3 linked regions of the Callithrix jacchus genome follow. The protein of the gene in region 1 binds, or shares a complex with, the protein of each later gene. Links are inferred from orthologs where the notes say so. Each region holds a gene or a part of one and is shown on either strand. Other genes may lie near its edges.

Region 1 (3,940 bases):
GAATGACATTTCCAGGAATTGCCCTATACTTTGGGAATTTTTTCCTAGGATTACCACAAATGCACATTTGCACATTTATTCTACATAAAATATAACGTGTGCACATTCGATGCCATCCTTTTTTTTTTTTTTTTTTTTTTTTGAGACGGAGTCTCACTCTGTCGCCCAGGCTGGAGTACAACGGCAAGATTTCGGCTCACTGCAATCTTTGCCTCCTGGGCTCAAGTGATTCTCCTGCGTAAGTCTCCCAAGTAGCTGGAATTACAGGACTGCGCCACCACATCTAGGTAATTTTTGTAATTTTAGTAGAGACGGGTTTTCACCATGTTGGCGAGGCTGGTCTCGAACCGGTGACCTCCAGTGATCAGCCCGCCTTGGCCTCCCAAAGTGCTAGGATTACCGGCGTGACCACGGCGCCTGGCCGCCATCACTTAGGCATGTGTTTCATGTAGGAAATGTCTAAGACCATAATCACTACTGTGTGTGCTACCCCCCCGCGCGCGCGTGAACTCAGGCCCCTCTGGACGGACAATGGGGACCCCTGACCACTTACATCTTTGGAAACACGCCTCCCAGCGCTCCGGAACCTCAGGGCAGGACTCGTCGCAGCAGCAAGTAGGACCCGCTGGGGGCGCACAGCCCACCTGAATCATTGTAACTACAAGTCCCAGCAGCCCCTGGTGCGGGGACTGGACGCCGCGACCGGAGTCCGGAGAGACTACAAGTCCCGGCAGGCAGGGTCCAGACGAAGGCACTACGAGTCCCAGAATGCATCGCTCCTAGCTTGCGCAGGGAACCCTGGGAGATGTAGTCGTTGAGGAAGCTAATGCCTATTCATTCCATCTCAAAGAAGATGCAAATTCTTCAGACAGTCCACTGAGATGAGTTTTCTCAGGCAGGCCAGGCGCGTGGGCGAAAAACGGGGGGAAAAAAGCCCTGGGAAGCCGATACCGTCGCGGGAGAAGCCAGCCTGCGCATGCTCACCGGGAGGCCGAGCGGGAAAAGTGCGCGTAGTGGGCCTCGCCGCCCGCACGCCCCGCCCCGGCCCCGGCCCCACCCCCGGGCCTGCGCGCCCAGTGAGCCTGCGCGGAGGGCGGGGGCCGAGCGTCGCGGGGAGGGGCTCGCGGCGCCTGCGCAGAGCGGCGGCTTCTCTCGCGAGGACGGACGCCATTATCGCATCTCCCCGACAAACACCACGAGAATTCCGCAGCCCACACGGTAATTGCAGCTCCCGCAGCCGGTCGCGCCTCCGCCTCCCCCTTCCCGCGGGGCGAGAGCGAGAGCGAGATCTCCCTCCTCCCTCCTCCTCCTCCTCCTCCCCCTCCCGCCCGCCGGGCCGTCCGCGCCGCAGCCCCGCCGCCGCCAACTGTCTGGGCCGGGCGAGCGCCCCCAGCTCCTCGCTCCCCGTCCCTGGCCGCGCCCCGGAAGAGGGGCTCCCGCTTCCTCGCTTCCGCACCCCCTGCCCCGCCGCGCCCCGGCGTCCGTTGGGCCGCGGCTGCCGTAGCCCGGCCCGGGGGCCTCGAGCTCCCGATCTCTGCTCCGGGGCCGCGGCGGGGAGACTGGAAAGGCCTAGAACCGCGCCCGTGCTCCTCGGGGGACCGAGGTCTCCCTCGGGGGTGGCTCCTGCCAGCCAGCCGTGAGCGACGGGCACCGTTTCTGTGCCTCCTCCATGGCTGTGGACAGGAGCCCCAGTAGCCCAGGACTTGCACGCGGAAGCCTCCGGCGCGCAGCGAAACGGGCGATCTCAGGGCTGCCGCCGAGCTCGGCGAGGACCCCAGCCCGTTCCCGGGGGCCCCCTCCTCAGCGCCTGTGTGCGAGTTCTGTGGTGCAGCCCCTAAAAAGGGGGCCGTTTGTTTTTCCCTGGGGTGCAGAAAGTAGATGACGTTCCATCCCCACTGTGTGAGCGCACTGGAGACAGTGCCTTGCTGGAGGGGACTGTGGTTTTTCCCTGAGGACGTGGCAGGGCTTGTCTTGCTCTTGGGGAGATACATCAGCCCTGAAGAACTGTGAGCAGGTGCACGAGTGTGGGCTCTGAACGGTGGCGAGCTCGCACCCTCCCCGGGGAGGCCCGGGCCGCACAGTTGATGTGGAGCCGGTCATTCTCTGTTTGGAGTTGCCTGTCTGCCCGGGAATGTACTCCAGGGCCTGATGGCGTTGGCGGAACTTGCGCTGCAATAAATAACCGATAAGAGGAGGCAGTCTTAGGGTACACTTGTAGCTGGAAGTTCTTGGGGGACAGAAAAATAGCTCGGAGTAGTGAGTGGTTCTGAGGAAGATCAGAAAACATCAAATTAAAACTAGATCTGGTCATTTCGCCCGCAGCTCGCAAATACCCAGTGCTAGAAGAAAACACCGAAACGAGGTGAAACTGTATGTAGGTGCATTTCCCCTGCCTTGCAATTCAAATAAGAATATATTCATAAGCTGCAGCAAGTACCACTGGGCAGGGAGACCTCCACCCAGGCTGCGCTGGAGGCAGTGGGAAGACGCCCAGGTAGAAGAGCATCGAGGGTCTGGCGGGGCCCATAGCCTACGGAGCTGAGCCTCGGGGCTGACAGCATTCCAGGCTGAAGGCCCCCAGCAGGCTCCGATCCACATGTTAACAGGTGATTATTGTTAATAAACAGGTGTTCTGTATTTACTTACAACTCAAGAAATATTCCAGGTAGGCAGTTGTTACCCGCTTACCACTAACTGAAAGGTCCTCTCCACAAGGGAGCCACGGGGCCAGGGCAAACTTAATGTTTCTCAGCAATGTTGGATTCTGTGCTCACTGGTTTTAATGTTTTTATTTTCTGGAGGCAGGATTTTAACTGTCTGCCAGGCTGGAATGCAGTGTGGTGATCTTGGCTCACTGCAGCCTCAACCTCCCTGGCTCAAGTGATCCTCCCACCACAGCCTCCCAGGTAGCTGGGACCACAGGTGCCACCACACCTGGCTAATTTTTGTATAGTGGGGGGGGTTTCGCCTTGTTTCCCAGGCTGTGGCTTTAATCTTTAAAAAAAAAAGAGCTTCAGGCTGTGGGGGCAGCTCAACATCTTGCATCCTTCACCGTGACCCCCACTCCATAGATGAGGTGATGTGGCTGCAGATGCTGAGGGCATGTGTGCAGATGCACAGAGCCAGGGCTCCAGTTCAGTCTCTCTAAGCTGATGTTCTTAAAAAACACACCCCATCCATTCAGTGTTTTAATCAACATAGTGTATACAGCAGCCATGTCAGTGGAAGACTTACATGAAAAGCAGTGTCCCCTGCCCCACCTCCCAGCCCCATTCTTCAAAGCCTGGTTTCTTGAGGTCCTTCTCCATAGCTCTAAGTAAGCTGGTCTTTTCATTTGTTTTTGAGATAGGATCTCCCTGTGTTCCACAGACTCTACCCAGCCCTGGTGACCCTCAGCCTCCTTAGTAGTTGTTGCAGGCATGAGCTGCCACACCTGTTGCCCAGGGTGGGCTTTAACGTGCCCTTTAAGCTGATACTTTCTTTTTTTTTGAGATGGAGTTTCGCTCTTGTTACCCAGGCTGGAGCGCAATGGCGTGATCTCGGCTCACTGCAACCTCTGCCTCCTGGGTTCCGGCAATTCTGCCTCAGCCTCCTGAGTAGCTGGGATTACAGGCACGAGCCACCGTGCCCAGCTAAGTTTTTGTATTTTTAGAAGAGACGGGATTTCACCGTGTTGACCAGGATGGTCTCGATCTCTTGACCTCGTGATCCACCCATCTCGGCCTCCCAAAGTGCTGGGATTACAGGCTTGAGCCACCGCCCCTGGCCTAAGCTGATACTTTTTTTACTCAGCCTTGACTTTGTGTTATGATGGGTGACGGATCCCTTCTGTCACATGCCGCCTCCTCCATCTCATGTACCCTGTTTTCAGGGTAGGGTCAGGTCCCCTCCTTCTTCAGCCTCTCAGCTTTTTCTGTAACCTGCACACGAGCCAGCCTGA
Region 2 (3,947 bases), on another chromosome or scaffold:
CAACTGTGGCAGAGCTGCGGGCCGGGCGTCTGGGCTGAGCCCGGCCTAGGTGGCACATAGGGTGCAAGTCCGCCCCCGCCAGTGGCCCGCCCTCCGCGACGGCGAGCCAGCCAGCCGGTCGCCCCCACGGCCCGCGGGGACCCCGCAGAGACAAGCAGACCCCCGCCCCCCACGGCTCGCGCCCGCGCCTCCCGCCACACCGAATCCAAGTTCGGGCCCGGGGGCGGCGCCTTGAGGCCCAGACTTGCCAAAGGGGGTGGAGCCTCCGCCGTGACGCGGCGGCGCTGGCCGTAGACCCCGGATCCCTGGAATGTGCATTCGTTCCACGAGGCCCTAGTGCCAGCGGCGCCGAGGCACGTCTGCGCGGAGCGTGCGCACTTGCGGCGGCGGCCGTCCGCGGCCCCGCGCCCACGTCACGCGCCCGCCGCGCGGACCTACATAAGGCGGTCTGGGCCGCTGGCGCGGCGAGGACCCCGCTGAACAGGGCGGCTGGACTGGCTAAGAGTATCACTTGGTGTTCTCGAGCAGCTAATCAGAACCGCGCTCCCTCCGCTCGAGGGCTCCGTGGAAAACGCGCGAGCCAGCTGGCGGCGTGTGCACGCGGTGCTGGGCTTGGGAACGTCAGACTCTCCCCAGTTAGTAAAAGGGGCAGGCAGCGCGTGTGTCCTTCCCAAGACAAATGCAAATGCAAAGCACCAGTGACGGATTTCATGCTCATGCGTCCGACATTGAGCTTTCAAGTCTCACTCCTAAGAAACTGGGACTGTGAACCACGCTAGACTTAAAATCCCCCTTCTCTGGAGACTGACGAAAACCAAGTGACAAAGTGGCCTTGCATGAAAAAAAATTTAAAAATGACTTTTGGCATGGTTTGGCCCAGAGGCACACCAGGGGAAAACATCCTGAGGGTGGTCGAGACAGCCGGGTGGGGCGCGAAGTGAGGGAAGTGGAGGAAAAACGCAGGACCACTTAGCACGGCGTTCCGAAGGGAACACCGGCTCTGCGGCGCCCGGCTCTCCCGGCAGCGCTCCTTGGGCGCGCGGGGGGAGGGGGAGCACGCGCGCGCGGGAGGGCGGGCGCGCGCACGAGGGGAGGGGGCCCGCGCAGGCGCCGTGCGAGACTGTCGAAGAATCAAGTCTGTAGAAGTGGAGCGGCCGCGGCGCCAGCAGCAGCAGCGACGGTGGCAGCGGCGGAGCTGAGGCGGGCTGGCCGCTGACGCTGGCGCTGGAGAGCGGCGACGCCAGGAGCTGTGAGAGAGCGGCGGAGCGACCCCGGGCCCGCGCCGCGCCCGAGCTCCACGCCGCCCGGCCGCCGCCGCCCCGGCGCGGCATGCCCCGCCGCTCGGGCTGAGCCTGCCCCGGCGGCCGCCCCCCGCCCCCCGCCCCCCCGGCCTCCCCGCCCCCCGCCCCGCACTCCGTGCCGGCCGCCGTCGCGACCTGCTGCGCTCCCCCACGCCCGCGCGGCCCGTCTTCGCCCCGGTCTGGAGGCCCGCCGCGGCCCCGGCCGAGCCCCAGCCGCCTCGCCCGCCGCCCCGCCGCCCCGCGCCGCCCGCCCGTGCCCGCGCCGCCCGGGGGGACCTGCTGCCGCGGCTGCAGCCTCTCGCCCCGCGCCCGCCGCCCCTCGTGCACCGGGGGCGCTGCGCGGGCGCCGAGCCTTCGCGGGCTTTGCCGCCGCCGCCGCCTTTGCGGCCGCCGCCGCCGCTGGTGGGGGAGACGCGGGGTTGGGGGGGGAGGAGGGCGCGCGTGGTGCCGGTGGGGGGCGGCGGCGGCGCCCCCTCCTCCTCCTCCACCTTCTCCGGCGCGGCGGGCTCCTCGGACATGGCCGCGGCGGTGGCGGTGGCGGCCGCGTCCCGGCGGCAGTCGTGCTACCTGTGTGACCTGCCCCGCATGCCCTGGGCCATGATCTGGGACTTCACCGAACCCGTGTGCCGCGGCTGCGTCAACTACGAAGGCGCCGACCGCGTCGAGTTCGTCATCGAGACGGCGCGGCAGCTGAAGCGGGCGCACGGCTGCTTCCCGGAGGGTCGTTCCCCGCCCGGCACCGCGGCCCCGGCTGCCGCCAAGCCGCCGCCGCTCTCGGCCAAGGACATCCTTCTGCAGCAGCAGCAGCAGCTCGGCCACGGCGGCCCCGAGGCGGCCCCGCGCGCCCCGCAGGCCCTGGAGCGCTATCCTCTGGCGGCCGCGGCCGAGCGGCCCCCGCGCCTTGGCTCGGATTTCGGCGGCAGCCGTCCGGCGGCGAGCCTGGCCCAGCCGCCGACTCCGCAGCCGCCGCCTGTGAACGGCATACTGGTGCCCAATGGTTTCTCCAAGCTGGAGGAGCCGCCCGAGCTGAATCGCCAGAGCCCGAACCCGCGGCGCGGCCACGCGGTGCCGCCCACCCTGGTGCCGCTCATGAACGGCTCGGCCACGCCGCTGCCCACCGCGCTCGGCCTCAGCGGCCGCGCTGCCGCCTCCTTGGCCGCGGTGTCCGGAGCCGCGGCCGCCAGCCTGGGCTCTGCGCAGCCCGCCGACCTGGGCACCCACAAGCGGCCGGCCTCTGTGTCCAGCAGCGCAGCAGCGGAGCACGAGCAGCGCGAGGCGGCAGCCAAAGAGAAGCAACCGCCGCCGCCGGCCCACCGGGGCCCGGCCGACAGCCTGTCCACCGCGGCCGGGGCCGCCGAGCTGAGCGCTGAAGGTGCGGGCAAGAGCCGCGGCTCCGGAGAGCAGGACTGGGTCAATAGGCCCAAGACCGTGCGCGACACGCTGCTGGCGCTGCACCAGCACGGCCACTCGGGGCCCTTCGAGAGCAAGTTTAAGAAGGAGCCGGCCCTGACTGCAGGCAGGTTGTTGGGTTTCGAGGCCAACGGGGCCAACGGGTCTAAAGCAGGTAGGGGCGGCTGTGGAGTGAGGGGCTCTAGGGGAGAAAAGGGGACGGAGAGCAGAGGAGGGGTGGTTTTTTTCAAGTCACCATTTTGCCCCAGCCCAGAAACAACAAACACCCCACTTCCTGATCTGCCTGAGGCGGAACCAGTGCTTAGTGGCAACGTGTTCCTGTGCTGAAGCAGCATAACAGAGATGAGTCACACTGGGCTGATAGGCTCTGCCACGGGCTTTTCCTTTCCCAGCACATTCTTGGATGGGAGCATGAGGGCACCAGTCACCTTTTAACCTACTGGGGGACATTAGCGGTCACATGCCCAGTGCAAACCTTGTGCATGTGTAAAAACAGGCAGTTACAAGCATGCCGTTTTCGCTGGCTCCGTTTTACTAAATCAGTCGGCTGCCTCGGAACCCCATACGTCTAAAGGTTTTAAGTTGCATGTGCACTTGAAACTCGAATGAGTCTTTTCTGTCCGTGCTTTTAGAGAGGAGGAATTCTGAAACGAGTTCGCTTCTGGTCGGGAAGAGGGATTCTTTCCAGTGCGCCGTCGTTTATGTTTCCTTTCTCTTTTCTTGTCTTTGTGTTTCCAGTTGCAAGAACAGCAAGGAAAAGGAAGCCCTCTCCAGAACCAGAAGGTGAAGTCGGGCCCCCTAAGATCAATGGAGAGGCCCAGCCGTGGCTGTCCACATCCACAGAAGGGCTCAAGATCCCCATGACGCCTACATCCTCTTTTGTGTCTCCGCCGCCACCCACTGCCTCACCTCATTCCAACCGGACCACACCGCCTGAAGCGGCCCAGAATGGCCAGTCCCCCATGGCAGCCCTGATCTTAGTAGCAGACAATGCAGGGGGCAGTCATGCCTCAAAAGATGCCAACCAGGTTCACTCCACTACCCGGAGGAATAGCAACAGTCCGCCCTCTCCGTCCTCTATGAACCAAAGAAGGCTGGGCCCCAGAGAGGTGGGGGGCCAGGGAGCAGGCAACGCAGGAGGACTGGAGCCAGTGCACCCTGCCAGCCTCCCGGACTCCTCTCTGGCAGCCAGTGCCCCCCTGTGCTGCACCCTCTGCCACGAGCGGCTGGAGGACA
Region 3 (3,969 bases), on another chromosome or scaffold:
GAAAACCAGGGTCAACTGGCACGTCAATTCAAATATTTTTAAGCACCTAACACGGACCCAGGCCTAGAAAGAGAAAGGGGCTGTTGTGGGTTAGAACCTGGAGACCCGCCTCCGCCCTTCCCCAAAGACAGCCTCGTCCCGTTCCCAAGGCCCGGGAAAGAAGACAGGAGGGTCCCCAAAGACTGATTGGGCCTCCCAGGTAGTGAGCGCTCAAGGTTGGGGAAAGGTGGTCGGGTATTTGCCCTTCCCCAGCAACTCCCTCCTCTTAGCCCCTTACTCTTCCCTCAAACTGGGGAGCAATAGAGGCTAAGGGTCCCGCAAACGCCATGCTCCGAAAGCACGCAAAGACCCCAGAAAGTTGGGGGTGGGGAGCGGGGGAGGTAGCGCGAATCTGGAAGGCCTCCCCCCAACCTCCCAGACGGCGGAAGTACGTCACTTTGTCCGCCCCGCGGCGCATTTTGGGAATTGTAGTGAAGCGGGTGGGGGGACGCCCAGCGGCCGATGGTGTAACCCTTTAGAGACCAGAGCGCGCGAGCAGAGCTAGGACAGGGTTAGAGGGCGCTCGGTCGCCCCCCTCCTTTAGCAAACTGAGGCAAAGCTCTGACTCAGGAGCCCTTAGTCCTCTCCCTCCTCTGGCTGTGGCGGGCCCCAGAGCCAGGGATTCCGGAGAAGGATGAAGTGCCAAGTGGCCACCTCCACCCCCTCCTAGTTGGCAGCTTCCTGTCCCTTCTCTGAAGCCAATCAGAGCTTCTCCGCCCCGCCCCAGAAGCTGCTGCCCTCCTAATTCGTCATTGGCCCACCTTTGCTGGGCGAGGAAACTGAGGCTCAGAGAGGGTAAGAAATTTTGCCTAAAGCTGCACCGCAAATCGAAACAGAAGTTGGAAGCCAGCAGCCTGTCCACCCACCCCCACAATTTCTGAACCCGGAGTAGCTCTGATCATTCGTATTTTGTCCTCGCCTCCCACCTTTGTGTCCCAGCTCCTCACGGCGTGCGGAACTCCGGCCCCGAGGCGAGGAGGAGTAAGGGTTGCGCGAGGAGAGGCGGCGACCCCCGCTGGCTGCCCGCCGTTCCCTTTAAGAGCAGGCCCCGGCGGGACTACGTTTCCCAGAAGGCTTTGCCGGCGCGTTATGTAACTTTCCCTGCGAAGCGGCCTCTGGGGCAGAAGGAGGTGGAGGTGGCGGCGGCCGTTGCAGCGGCGGCGGAGAGAGCGGCGGGAGCCCTAGGTGGCGGCGAGAGCAGCCCATCGTGGGACCCGAGCTGTGCGCCTCGGCTCGGAGCCCGGACCGGGCGAGGGCGCCGACGTGCCTCGGCCTGCCTTTGCGAGGGAGGCGGGAGTGAGCAAAAAGGCTTAAGGCCCAGGGGGCGGGGAAGGGGGGCCGGGCCTGGATCCGGCGGGGAGGCCGAGCCGGAGGCCGGACCGTGGCTAGCGCTGTCCCGGGGACGCGGATCGCACGGCGGCGGCGGCGCGAATCGCACGGCGGCGGCCGGTGGAACGCGGGGGCCGGGCGGCGCGCGGACTGGGGCCATGGCGTCTGTGCAGGCGTCCCGCCGCCAGTGGTGCTACCTGTGCGACCTGCCCAAGATGCCGTGGGCCATGGTGTGGGACTTCAGCGAGGCGGTGTGCCGCGGCTGCGTGAACTTCGAGGGCGCGGACCGCATCGAACTGCTCATCGATGCCGCCCGCCAGCTCAAGCGCAGCCACGTGCTTCCCGAAGGCCGCTCGCCCGGGCCCCCGGCCCTTAAGCACCCGGCCACCAAGGACCTGGCTGCGGCCGCCGCACAGGGGCCCCAGCTGCCGCCCCCGCAGGCCCAGCCCCAGCCATCAGGGACTAGCAGCGGCGTCTCAGGCCAGGACCGCTATGACAGGGCCACATCATCGGGCCGCCTCCCCCTGCCCTCGCCGGCCCTGGAATACACTCTGGGGTCCCGCCTGGCCAATGGGCTTGGCCGTGAGGAGGCTGTGGCAGAGGGGGCGCGAAGGGCCTTGCTTGGCTCCATGCCTGGCTTGATGCCCCCTGGGCTGCTAGCAGCTGCAGTGTCTGGCCTGGGAAGCAGAGGCCTGACGCTGGCACCCGGCTTGAGTCCTGCCCGGCCCCTCTTCAGCTCTGATTTCGAGAAAGAGAAGCAGCAGAGGAATGCGGACTGTCTGGCAGAACTGAACGAGGCCATGCGGGGCAGGGCAGAGGAATGGCACGGGCGCCCCAAAGCAGTGCGGGAACAGCTACTGGCGCTGTCCGCCTGCGCCCCGTTCAATGTGCGCTTCAAGAAGGATCACGGGCTGGTGGGGAGGGTGTTCGCCTTCGATGCTACTGCCCGTCCTCCAGGATACGAGTTCGAGTTGAAGCTCTTCACGGAATACCCCTGTGGTTCCGGCAATGTGTACGCAGGCGTCCTGGCGGTGGCTCGTCAGATGTTCCACGATGCTCTGCGGGAGCCGGGCAAGGCACTGGCCTCTTCGGGCTTCAAGTACCTCGAATATGAACGCCGGCATGGCTCAGGAGAATGGCGGCAGCTGGGTGAGCTACTGACCGACGGTGTCCGCAGCTTCCGCGAGCCAGCTCCCGCAGAGGCCCTTCCCCAGCAGTACCCAGAGACGGCCCCTGCGGCTCTTTGTGGCCCACCCCCGCGAGCCCCATCCCGGAACCTAGCGCCCACGCCGCGCCGTCGCAAAGCATCCCCCGAGCCTGAAGGCGAGGCGGCTGGAAAGATGACCACCGAGGAGCAGCAGCAACGACACTGGGTAGCACCTGGTGGCCCGTATTCCGCTGAGACCCCTGGTGTGCCCTCACCCATTGCCGCCCTGAAGAATGTGGCCGAGGCCCTGGGTCAATCACCCAAGGACCCTGGCGGAGGTGGGGGGCCTGTGCGTGCAGGGGGTGCCAGCCCTGCAGCCTCCTCCACGGCCCAGCCTCCAACCCAGCATCGCCTGGTTGCCCGCAACGGTGAAGCCGAAGTCAGTCCCACAGCGGGGGCCGAAGCTGTCAGCGGGGGTGGCGGCGGCACCGGGGCGACCCCTGGGGCCCCCCTGTGCTGTACCCTGTGCAGGGAGCGGCTGGAAGACACCCACTTCGTCCAGTGCCCCTCGGTGCCCGGACACAAGTTCTGCTTTCCCTGCTCGCGCGAGTTCATCAAGGCACAGGGCCCGGCTGGGGAGGTGTACTGCCCAAGCGGAGACAAATGCCCGCTGGTGGGTTCCTCCGTCCCCTGGGCCTTCATGCAGGGTGAGATCGCCACCATCCTTGCTGGAGACATCAAGGTTAAGAAAGAACGGGACCCGTAGGCCACCACTGCCTCCAGGCCACTGGCCACCACCCTCTGCCCCTTTGCCACCCACCGCTGCCGCGGATAAATTATTCCCTCCCCGACCTAGCCCAGTGCCACCCCTACCTGTGTACATACTCCCTTCCTCTGCACAGACGGGTCCCCTGGGGTAGATGCATTGTGGGTGGGGGGAGAAAGCTTGTGGTTCCTGTCCGAGGGGGTGTTTGGGGTCCCTTGGCCCCTCCAGTTTCCCTCTGTCCTCCTTGGCTTGGCTTTGCTGCTGCTTGTAGTTGGGGGAGAGGTGCCCCCTCCTCCTTGAGAAGGGACCTCCTGAAAACTCGCTCTTTATAAACCCTCTCCCGCCCCCTTCTGCTCCTTCAATAAACCGAAAGATGGGTTTTTTTTTCCTTCTTGGTCCCTTAGTTGTGTGAGATGCTGCGCCCCCTTTGGGACTGAAGTGGTCCTGCGAGGGACAGGACGTTGCGCGGTAGCCTCCAGGTGGCGCCCGGCACCCAGGCGGTCCCGCTGGCCGACCTTCAACGAGAGCGACCCACTGGTCACGTTTTAGCCATCGGCCCCTTTTCCAGATGAAAAAACTGAGGCTCAGAGAGGGGATAGCTCCTGCAGGGAGAGGCTCGGGAGTAGATTACCCTTCTGTAGCTGGCCTATCTCTGCCTGGAAGGTGGAGGACTGAGCGCCCACGTGGT

Evidence for each region. Proteins that work in one complex are often made in the same cells at the same time.
Region 2: BANP (region 1) and IRF2BP2 share a complex: the UniProt entries of both Homo sapiens proteins name them as parts of the corepressor complex. The link is inferred for Callithrix jacchus from reciprocal best matches to the Homo sapiens genes BANP and IRF2BP2.
Region 3: BANP (region 1) and IRF2BP1 share a complex: the UniProt entries of both Homo sapiens proteins name them as parts of the corepressor complex. The link is inferred for Callithrix jacchus from reciprocal best matches to the Homo sapiens genes BANP and IRF2BP1.

The regions. Positions count from the first base shown.
Region 1 is NC_133521.1:45,581,502-45,585,441, forward strand, and holds the start of BANP (protein BANP), read left to right. Parts: upstream 1-1,134; 5' UTR 1,135-1,218; exon of another isoform or gene 1,219-2,606; intron 2,607-3,940. UniProt on the Homo sapiens protein: Controls V(D)J recombination during T-cell development by repressing T-cell receptor (TCR) beta enhancer function. Binds to scaffold/matrix attachment region beta (S/MARbeta), an ATC-rich DNA sequence located upstream of the TCR beta enhancer.
Region 2 is NC_133520.1:50,621,498-50,625,444, forward strand, and holds the start of IRF2BP2 (interferon regulatory factor 2-binding protein 2), read left to right. Parts: upstream 1-1,139; 5' UTR 1,140-1,817; coding exon 1,818-2,865; intron 2,866-3,449; coding exon 3,450-3,947. UniProt on the Homo sapiens protein: Acts as a transcriptional corepressor in a IRF2-dependent manner; this repression is not mediated by histone deacetylase activities. Represses the NFAT1-dependent transactivation of NFAT-responsive promoters.
Region 3 is NC_133523.1:40,034,186-40,038,154, reverse strand, and holds IRF2BP1 (interferon regulatory factor 2-binding protein 1), read left to right. Parts: upstream 1-1,161; 5' UTR 1,162-1,526; coding exon 1,527-3,281; 3' UTR 3,282-3,669; downstream 3,670-3,969. UniProt on the Homo sapiens protein: Acts as a transcriptional corepressor in a IRF2-dependent manner; this repression is not mediated by histone deacetylase activities. May act as an E3 ligase towards JDP2, enhancing its polyubiquitination. Represses ATF2-dependent transcriptional activation.